Arabidopsis thaliana: one gene and its partner. The protein of the gene in region 1 interacts with the protein of each later gene in a biochemical or structural test. Each region holds a gene or a part of one and is shown on either strand. Other genes may lie near its edges.

Region 1 (5,166 bases):
GCTTAAATATGATGCCTTTGGCGTAAGTCTTTGAAACCTCGTTCTAAGTGTCTCATCTGTTTACTCCTCTCATTTTGCGGTGTTCCATAATAACAGGCGAGTCAGGCTGCATTATGCACTTCAGGAACAGTTGCTGTTGAGTTGCAGCTTGCTCATCTACCTTCCCTTGTTGCTTACCGAGCACATTTTCTAACAGAGCTATTAATCCGTTACAAAGCCAAGATACCTTATATTTCTCTCCCAAACATTCTCCTAGACTCCCCAATCATTCCTGAAGCTTTGTTTCAAGCTTGTAACCCTTCAAATCTCGCATCGATACTAGAGTATATCTTTTTCTTTTCACCCACTTTTACTTTATATTTTGTTATCTGGCAATTGAGAAATGGGCATGATGATGACGTGAGATGTTGTTTGAAACTGTAGGAGACTACTCTTGGATGAAAAGATGAGAGAAAGACAAGTTGTTGGTGCTGAGAAGTTGATACAGCTCTTGCATCCGTCAGAAAGCAGAATGGGCAACTCAATTCATTGCACTGGTTTGGAATCTCATCGATATACGCCAAGCATTTTAGCAGCTTCGACTATTCTTAGTTATGCCAGGCGTTAAAAACTATCGTGAGTCACATGCCTTTGTTTGATACTAGAGTACGCTGAGATACTTGCTATAATCTAAGGTTGAATTTTTTTCATAAGAGTTCTAACATATGGTAAATTACAGTTAAAGGCGAAATGATCCATGTAGATTAGAATGTCTCAGCTTATTTGGTTTGCAGTCTAAGACAAACAGTCAAAAAGGGCTTTCGAAAGCATAAAAGGATAAAGTGAAAGTATTGAATGTCTAAGCTTATCTGCTTTGCAGAAACAGATAAGATCCTACTAGTGTGGCTTGTCATAACTGGTTTAATAGTATATTTCGCTGTAAAGATCGATACAGAATTGTGGGAGAGTGAGGAATAAACCAGACAAAGATGCTTCCAATCTCATGTTCTCAAACCCCAAACTCTCTCAAGCAATGCACCAATCTCCATGTACAAAAAAGAAAAAGAAACATTCTCACAACAGTATATTTGTTGATGAAAATTCTTGCAAGAGTATATGATTATCTGGTTCTAAGAGCCATCCATTGCAATATCACCACCAGTTGTTGGCTTTGGTGGAGTTGCTCCAAAAGTGAACTCCTGAGGAGGGATACTTGAAGCAGGAGATGAAAATATAGAAGAAGTAGGAGCATTGTTGAACACAGGAGCTTGTGCTTGATTATCAATCTTAGGGAAACCAAACCCAAACGTTGGAGCATCATTAATATTCATCGCCGACATCATCTCAGATCCGAATATCCCCTGCTCAAACTCCTGCAGTTGTTGGTAAAACTCTGTGTACAAAGAAAAAGCAATGAGTAACAGTTTCAAGAACAATAAGTAAGTTTCTAATCCAAAGTCTAAGTACTTGCCTGGACTTATGTCAGTGCTTGGTCTCCGTTGTTTAACCCACTGATGACTCTCAGCGAGTCTCCACCCTTTTCGTTTCATCAAGTACGCTACAACAACCGCTGGTGATCTGTCATGTAATCGAAACACAAAACATATCACTCTATTAGTCTAAATAATTAATGGTAATCATAAGAAAGCAGCCGCAAGTTTAGGATGAGAGTAAGAGAATGATAAATGTACTCACCTACTTTTCCCAGACATGCAATGCACAAGAACACGTGCCTTGTCCTTCTCACATTGGTCTACACAAAGCAAGACCGTCAAGAAAAAATCATAAAGATGAAATCTAGAAACTTGAGATAGAATCAACATACCTAAGAACTTAATAGCATCATCAAACTGTAAAACTTTTTCATTATCAAGACCATGATAAGTGAATGAATTCCTGTAGAGATTCTGGCACATAGGAACCGTCTGAAACAGAGTAACAAAAACAGAGTCAATACCAACAAATAGTAAACAACACATTCCTCTCTATTACCATAACAGGAACTTTAACAGAAACCATAAGTCAACAAAACGTATAAGTATAAGAAAGATTCATCTACAAGGCAAAACCCTAACTAAACAAACCGATTCAAAGATTCAAAGATCTTATCTTTTTCTTAAGGGTCATCATCAATGTTTAAAACAAAAGCAATTCATGAATTCAAAATCAAAGCAAAGAAACTCACATTAAGAACACGAGAGATTCCTTGAGTCTTAAGAAGCTCAGAGCGAGAAGCGTTGTCGTAACTACCGAGGTAAAGAAACTCAGGGAGAATCTCCGACGGAAAAGCACTGACGTGGACTTGTTGCGGCGCCACCGTATCGGAAGAAACAGGCATACAGTGACCACAGACTCCACATACTTCTCCTTCCTCGTACTTATGGTAATGCCCACAAATCGAACAAGGGTTCTCTCTTTCTCTCTTCCTCATAATTTGATTTCGAAAATTAAACCTAGATCTGATTTCTGATCAAAACCCAGATCAGAGAAAACCCTTGATTTCACAGACGGAGGAAATTAGGGTTTGGGTTTGGAGAAATTTGTTTGAACGGAAGAATTGGGAAGGACGGAGAAGAAGGAGAGACTTGAGAAGAGAGTTTTTTTTGTATGAAGAATTGTTTTCTTCTTCGATGGGATTAATACTGATTCGGATAGATACGTGCCACGTGGAGTTTAGATTTATGTAAATCTTCTTTAAACAGTCTCTCAGTTTAACAGGTTCTGTAATAGATACGGGAGAGAGAGGATCTCTAACTGAGTCAAAATTGTTAACTGAGCCATTTATTGCAGATTTACTTTTCTTTTTTTTTGTTCAGGATTTACAGTAAAAATAAAAAAGAATTTTTTTTTTTTATTTAAGTATATAGTCCATTTTTTTATTTAATTTTAAATTTCCAATAATATTAAATCAATATACATGACAAAACGTTTAAATAAAGTTACAGGCCCAAATACACAATAAAAACCGAAATTAGGCCGCATGTCCAAATAGATGGCAAAATGCCAAAAACCGAAACAAGGCTCCAGGTCCAGAAGAGAAACCAACTGAATCTTCTACTGAAAAACGCCAAACCAAGTGACAAGGAGAGATGGACATGGGCGGATGATCTGTTGAGCTCTTGATAAGAGATCGAGGTGACAACAGAGGATGTTTTTGATCTCAAGAACAACTGTAGAGGCAGGTTTCCATATATAGTCCATTTAATGATTGGATTTTGCTAATTCTGTTAGGGATATTGTTTTATGCTAATTTCATACTTATTATTATGTTAACTTGGTTTTAAAGGGTAAAGTAAAAGTTTAAATAATAAAGTTATTTAAATTTCTTTTATTTTTGTTGTCGACCGCTAATAATTTAGCTTAAAAGAGTCATTCCTAAGAAATGTTGTTTACATAGGTAATATGATGCGGTTCGATACGGATTTTTCTTGTCAAAGAATCCGCTATAATATTTACACTACCAAAAATTAAAGATGAAGAAAAACTTGTGAATTCTTTCTTATTGTTCCGTAATTCCTCCAAATACTCTGAGAAAGTCGTCCATTCGGTTGGAGAAGACACTATATTCACCAGGTCTGAACAGTTTGTAAAAAGTTATTTAAACTTTATTAAATACGAGAACAGTATTTGATAAGGGAAACTGAAATTAAATTATTTATTTTACAAAATTTAATAAATGTGACTTCTCGCAACGTCAAAAATATATGTACATATATATATATAATAAATGTTACGCAAATTATGTAGAATTCATTGTCATTATGTATGCATAGTAATTAACTTTTTTACGTCTACATAAACGATTTCGATCGTTGTAAATGACATTCATTATTTCAATTACAAGAGAAGTAATAAAACATTTTTCTCCTCTTTTGTCTCTTTACTATTTAGTATTTTGATCACTTTACAAGTTTAAAAATAATCTACTATTTATATTTATATCCACCATAAAAATAATTCACTTATTTGTAACAATTTGTAAATTTATAATTCGCTATAAGTGTTAAAATATAGGAGATTGACATAAATGACACTAAAAAGGTTTATTATTGCAAAAATGACACATTCTTTTAAAACTTGTACAAATAGCACACAAAAATTTTAATCCTCTAAAAATTAATTAAAATAAAATATAGAAAATACACAATATCTAATCTCATTTCTTCCAAATCCAACAGCTTTGCCTTCGAAAAACCCGACGACTTCGTCGCTCACCGGATCAAATCTGAAATCTTCAATGACACTCTCAACTAAGCCCTTGAATGAGATATTCTCATCTACCTCACAAAGGGATCCACCTTTGTTTGTGTCTACAAGAAAACCCACTAAAACTTATCATTTTGTTCACACTCTCCACAAACAGAGTATATCTCTACCATTTATATACCAACCCTAAAGAAAGCAACAACTAATACAATAAACAAACTAGAAGATCTATAGTATAAAAACACCAAAAATCTACAAAACTTTCAAATACTTGGACATGACTTACAATTATTTCAGAGATTCGCTTGTTTTTTAATGTTTGTGGATGATATATTCCTGAGACAACAAGACTAGCTGCACAAAGAGGCAAATATGTCATGTTAGGTGTTCAAAATCGATTGATTTTGATGCTTATTTGCAGTGAATCAATTCACGAATCAACAAATTCGCCTAATTCCACATTGAACGCCCATTATACCAATATTAATCGTCTAATTTCGTTTCCGAAACGTTTCGAAAACGAGAAACGCACTACGGGAAGAGTTCCCATGCAACATAGATTATTATTAATAGAGCCAAAAAAACCGGACACTAGTAAACCAAAACAAACATGGGCCATTATTTATAACAAGGCCTAAAAATGAAAACCAAGCCCAACAAGAAAACTCTTAGGCAAAGCAACACACTCTGTCATCTCTAAACGTGGTGCCGTACAAATGAATTTCATTGACTTGTTTACACGCGTCCAACTCGTCATCTCTGTTTTGTCTATCGCCGGATTGGAATATTCGCCGGCAAAGAGAGAACAGTCGAATGATTCTTTCTTGACCTGGTAATCATGTGGAAAAATTAACGATTCTCAAATAAGCAACCAAATCTCTTTTGATTTCTACTGAGAATAAATGATTCAGTTCTTTTTGTTATAATCTTTTCCACAATACCATGCTTTAATAGATCTTCATGCGCTTTCTTAAACTTCCA
Region 2 (5,684 bases), about 17 Mb from region 1:
TTATGGGCCGTTTTTTATCTTCAAAGTTTTAAAAAGGCCTATTTTATCTAGCACAATGGTGGAGTTGTCTCAAAGTCAATAAGGTATTCAATATCGACGTAATTCGATTAGGAATCTTTTGGGAAAAATGCCCTTTGGACCTGATGGCCCATAAATTGAGGTAGCTATACCTAATGGGCTTAAAGAAACAAGAAAAACGATTGAGATAAAGACAGCTCTTTAGTCTTTGTCCGGATGTAAATTAAAAGTGGGGTCCATACTTTTGTCGACCGATTTGTTCCTTGACAGCTGTCATTTGGGCTTTGAGGCCCATGTTTTACGCAAATCCAAGGAATTCGTTACGTAAAACAAATAAAGTTGTTATGCCTTTTAAAAAATATTCACAGTTGCTGAAATTTTTTTGATGAGGATTTTACAATTTTTTAAAAAGCAAAGTACTACCAAAAATAATAATGAATCGTCAAAATTAATTTTCGATTAAATCTTCTCAGTTTTTATTTTTAAAAGTAATAACAGGAGTCTGTAGGACGTGGTATGTATTAGTTAGCCGTTAGATTTGGTTATAATAATTAAAATAAACAAAGACTACGCCAATCGACCAATGACTTATTTTATAATCCCACGAAATCGTCTCATTTTTGGCCCTTCGATAAAACTTTTAATTATTTTATAGCCGTCCACTTTCCGCTAAGAATTTAACTACACACAAGGCTGTGACCAATTAAAACGTAACAGCCATTCACTAATGGTATACTTGTAAGGTTGTAACTAGTTTTTATGTGACGGGCCGTAGCTTTATCAAACTCGACCTCCGCCAGACATTTTTCTCAGCCGATCGACTCAGAAAATTCAATGAAGCATTAGAAGAATCATTTCCACACGATTTTCCCTGTGATTTCTTCATTTCCGGCGACTTAAAACGGTAAGTTTCGTGGAAATTGAGTTTTTTTTTGTTATCTATAATTCTCCTTTTATTGTGTGTGTTCTTCTGTAAATCGAAGTTTGTGTGTTTAGTTCTAAGATAGATTTTACTGTTCGATGAAGAGTTTGTACCGAACTTCTGTGTTCAAAACTTCCGTGTAGATAATTAACTCCTAGGGTTCTTCTAATTTTGGAAAGATTGAAACTTTTATCCTAATTCCTTGGTTCTGGACATCTTCAAGTGTAGATTATGGCTTAGAACAATTGATTATGTGTTTGTTTTCATCTTCAAATTTTGATTTTACATCATTTCAATAAAGGTGGTAACTTCTTTTTTTTCAAGATCTCAAAAGTTGTCAGCTTTTTGGGACTCTTAAGGTTGGGACTTGGGATTGTATTGTTCCTCGATTAGTCCTTCTATGTGTGGCAACAACACAGAAGATACATTGAGTTCACAGCAAATCGGTTTGTATGATTAATCATTATCATTATTCTAACAATATTTCTCTTTTCATTTTCAGGTGTCTAGCAAAATGAGCCGACCACAAGATCCACCCCGAGGTTTCTTCCCATTTGGAAATCCCTTTCGGATGTTATCATCAAAGGGATCAGATTTATCGCCATGGCTACTTTCTCTATTGAACGGCTTTGAGCTACGTTTGGAAGAGAGACTGAAGAAACTTATGCCTAAGAACAAAGATGACATCCTCACTTTATCCTGGATGAAGCTAGCTATGGAGTCACTCTGCGAGACTCATAAGAACATTAACACTCTCATTACTGATCTCCAGCTTCCTGTCTCTGATTGGGAAGAGAAATGGGTTGATGTTTACCTCAACATAAGCGTTAGGTTACTAGATCTCTGTAATGCCTTTAGCTCTGAGCTCACACGTCTCAACCAGGGAGATCTCTTCCTCAAGTGTGTTCTGCACAATTTACAATCGGATTCTGGGGAGAAGTATCTCCAGGCTCGATCTTCGCTTGATAGCTGGAGGCAACATGTTAATACAAACAACCCTAGAATTGAAAACTGCCGTGCGGTTCTAGACAGTCTTGTTAAATCTCTGAGTCTGCCTAAAGTCAAGAACTCGCCTAAAGGAAAGGTTCTGATGCGAGCTTTTTATGGTGTGAAGGTTCAAACAGTTTATATCTGCAGTGTATTTACCGCAGCCTGGTCTGATTCCACCAAGGATCTTTTCGATTTACCTGTCTCTGAAAAACCATTATGGGCAAAGGTCTTTACTGATATGCAGAGTGTTGTAAATGCTGAGATCAGAGACATGTTGTCTTCCGGTAGAACCACGATTCTCAAAGAGCTGGAGAGCGTTGATGCTAGTGTCGAGAAGCTATACCCGATGATCCAAGATGGCGTTGATCCTGTCGAAGTTGAATTCTTCAAAGATAATGTTATGGAATTGGGGACACAAGCTGAGAAATTGTCTCAAGGGTTGGATCAGTTACTGGAGGAAGTTGATAGTTTCTTTAAACTGACTTTGAGAGGGCGCGATGTGTTGCTCTGTAATCTTAGGTCAAGTGACTCAATCTCTGGCAATGCAGTTGGAGAAGATGTAGACTAAAATAGTGAGGTAAACAAACAAGTTTAACCCTTACAAAAGGCAGCTTTAGGTTCTATAAATAGTGTTTTCTCTTTTTTCTTTGTTTTGAGTCCATCTGTCGAGCTTGTCTCTTCCGTTTAGGTGTGTTGGTCTTGTATGTGTGACTGTATGAAATCAATTCTGCAATAAAATATAAATATAGAATACATCTGTTTGGCTTGAAAAAATCACTGCTCTCTTTGTAGTGATCCAATCTTTCTAAACCTGTTTCAATCAAAGGAACAAATCAGAGGCTTTGATCTATAGTTAAGTGCAATTAGTAGTAACAAATGAAAAATGCAATATTGAGCTAATATCGAGTGACTCTGCTTCTTGTTACCATACACGTATGTAATCTTTCATGATCTTTAGATTCACGGGTCCCTTGAGAGATCTTTTACAGTTGAAAAAAGCTTCTCTCTTCACATGGATTTAGTGTCTTCAAGAGATACTTTAGGAGATCCTTCAACTTCAACAAAAGCCCTTCTTCTTGGTTTCTCTCGTTCTCGGTCTGATCATTGCATCATCATGTCTGGAGAATCAAGCTCTGGTTCTACCGAACATTGCATCAAAGTTGTACCGACACACGGTGGCCGCTATGTTCAGTACAACGTTTATGGACAACTCTTTGAAGTTTCCAGAAAGTATGTCCCTCCTATTCGTCCCATTGGTAGAGGCGCTTGCGGTATTGTCTGGTAAGTTCTTTTGATTCTTTGTCTGATAAATTATGAAAGCGTTCCTTCTATTGAATGTTCACAGGCTCTTGATTCTTGAATTTCAGTGCTGCGGTGAACTCAGTGACTGGAGAGAAAGTGGCTATTAAGAAGATCGGTAATGCTTTTGATAACATCATCGATGCTAAGAGAACGCTACGTGAAATTAAACTTCTCAGGCATATGGATCATGAGAACGTAAGCCTTAAGCATCATTTCTCACATTTGACAACATCTTTTAAGTTTCTCAAATTTGCTAGATCTATCAAGTGTTCCTGATCTTCAGGGTCAAATGCTCTTTATATATAATTTCGTTTACTCTAATCTTCAAGCCTCGGTTTGATTCTTTAGGTTATAACCATCAAAGATATTGTAAGACCTCCGCAACGAGATATCTTCAATGATGTCTACATTGTCTATGAGTTAATGGACACTGATCTTCAGCGAATCCTCCGTTCTAACCAAACACTGACCAGTGATCAATGCCGTGTAAGTCTCTGTGTTGTTCTAATCATTTGTAAAGTCATGGAACTCTCTGATTTGATCTTTATTCTATTTACTTGTCTTCCTGTTACAGTTCCTAGTATACCAGCTCTTAAGAGGGCTCAAATACGTGCACTCGGCCAACATATTACATCGTGATCTAAGGCCAAGCAACGTGCTACTTAACTCGAAAAACGAGCTAAAGATTGGTGATTTTGGGCTTGCAAGAACAACTTCCGACACAGACTTCATGACTGAATATGTCGTTACCCGTTGGTACAGGGCTCCTGAGTTGCTTCTTAACTGCTCAGAGTACACCGCAGCTATTGATATTTGGTCTGTTGGCTGCATACTCGGCGAAATCATGACGGGACAACCGTTGTTTCCAGGCAAAGATTATGTTCATCAGCTTAGGCTTATAACAGAGGTATACCAGTAAAGTAAAAAAAGCATCAGTTTTACACTTTTCTTAAACTGCAATGCCCAATTCTGATTTCACTTAATATCCATTTCTTGATATTAGCTTGTAGGCTCTCCAGACAATTCCAGCCTCGGCTTCCTTCGCAGTGACAACGCAAGAAGATACGTCAGGCAACTTCCGCGATACCCGAAACAACAGTTTGCTGCTAGATTCCCGAAAATGCCCACTACGGCTATCGATTTGCTTGAGAGAATGCTCGTCTTTGATCCTAACCGGCGCATCTCAGGTAACAAACAACACAAAGATCCTTAAAACATTCATGTGGTTTTTTGCAGTTTGCTTTTGGCTTATCAATTAGACCTGCATGTGTTGTGTGTGTAGTCGATGAAGCCCTTGGCCATGCTTACCTATCACCGCACCATGATGTGGCCAAAGAACCGGTCTGTTCGACTCCTTTCAGCTTTGATTTCGAACATCCTTCTTGCACAGAAGAACACATAAAGGAGCTTATCTACAAGGAGTCTGTCAAATTCAATCCTGACCACTGAGAGAGAAACATGTTTGAATGATTTGATTCCTTTTTAAAAGTCTGCTCCGTTTGGTTTGATCTAAGATTCCTTTATATTGAATCTAAACTCATTTTATCTTTGATTGAATAATTGCTATGATGATACACACATATTTATCCATATCGTAAGCCCCTGCAGAGCTCAAGTTTCTTTAAATCAAATTTCTTAAACTATTGATCATATATGATAGCATTTTAAAAAAATTCTGTTTACCAAAACAGAGTATTATGTGTAATAGTTCGTTTAGTAAAATTACAGTTTTTGAACTTATTGCCAAATAGATTGATCGGAAGTTGAAACCAAGAGTTTTGTCATTGTCTTGATCGGAAATATCACACGCCCACACAACGAAGCTTTCTCTGAAAAAGTACTAAGATATGTATGTATGTTGATAATTATAGTATTTTTCCTTTTGAAGAAAACAGAGAACAAATGTACTTTAATACCGTTGTCTAAGATTTTAAAACGCTGTCGTTGTCGATTATAAATTAGACATTGGCGCTAAAAGCCCATTAATATCAAGGCCCTCACCCCAATTAATTTAAAAGAAATTAATATCAAAGCCTTTTTGTATAGAGAGAGACAAAAGATAAAATATCTTTTTTTCATGGGCAGTTTCTATTATGGGCTTGGTTTGGCCTAATATATATCTGTTATTTTTCTGTTGTGGGGCATTACATAGTCCATCTAATGTTTTGTCTTGTTCAATAAAATTATCTCTCTTGTGAAAAAATAATATAAATAAGTTCCTATATGACTCTTGTCTCTGACCAACACGTACTATATTATTCATATAAACCAGATAAATATTAAACCGAATATCTAAGATCCTATCTCGCCGATATACCGTGTAAAAGACACGCGCCAAGATTCTTCATTACCAAAAATCCCAATCATTTAACAACCGTTCGATCAGCGCGTAACTACAACACTTCCGTTGCGGCGCGTGAGATAAAACTGACGAAAAATTTAACAAATGTAA

Evidence for each region.
Region 2: of the proteins of IBR5 (region 1) and MPK12, one has a biochemical effect on the other in vitro, tested with the Arabidopsis thaliana proteins (one study listed by BioGRID).

The regions. Positions count from the first base shown.
Region 1 is NC_003071.7:1,585,782-1,590,947, reverse strand, and holds IBR5 (indole-3-butyric acid response 5), read right to left. Parts: upstream 2,756-5,166; 5' UTR 2,411-2,755; coding exon 2,165-2,410; intron 1,905-2,164; coding exon 1,805-1,904; intron 1,733-1,804; coding exon 1,675-1,732; intron 1,558-1,674; coding exon 1,451-1,557; intron 1,373-1,450; coding exon 1,110-1,372; 3' UTR 782-1,109; downstream 1-781. Other genes in the region: LpxB (transferases, transferring glycosyl groups), read left to right, coding at 1-22, 97-323, 424-607. UniProt on the Arabidopsis thaliana protein: Required for the transduction of auxin and abscisic acid (ABA) signaling pathways. Dephosphorylates and inactivates the MAP kinase MPK12.
Region 2 is NC_003071.7:18,945,131-18,950,814, reverse strand, and holds MPK12 (mitogen-activated protein kinase 12), read left to right. Parts: upstream 1-2,747; 5' UTR 2,748-2,942; coding exon 2,943-3,211; intron 3,212-3,297; coding exon 3,298-3,427; intron 3,428-3,580; coding exon 3,581-3,718; intron 3,719-3,806; coding exon 3,807-4,139; intron 4,140-4,235; coding exon 4,236-4,419; intron 4,420-4,491; coding exon of another isoform or gene 4,492-4,514; coding exon 4,515-4,681; 3' UTR 4,682-4,878; downstream 4,879-5,684. Other genes in the region: BPS2 (BPS1-like protein), read left to right, coding at 1,455-2,498.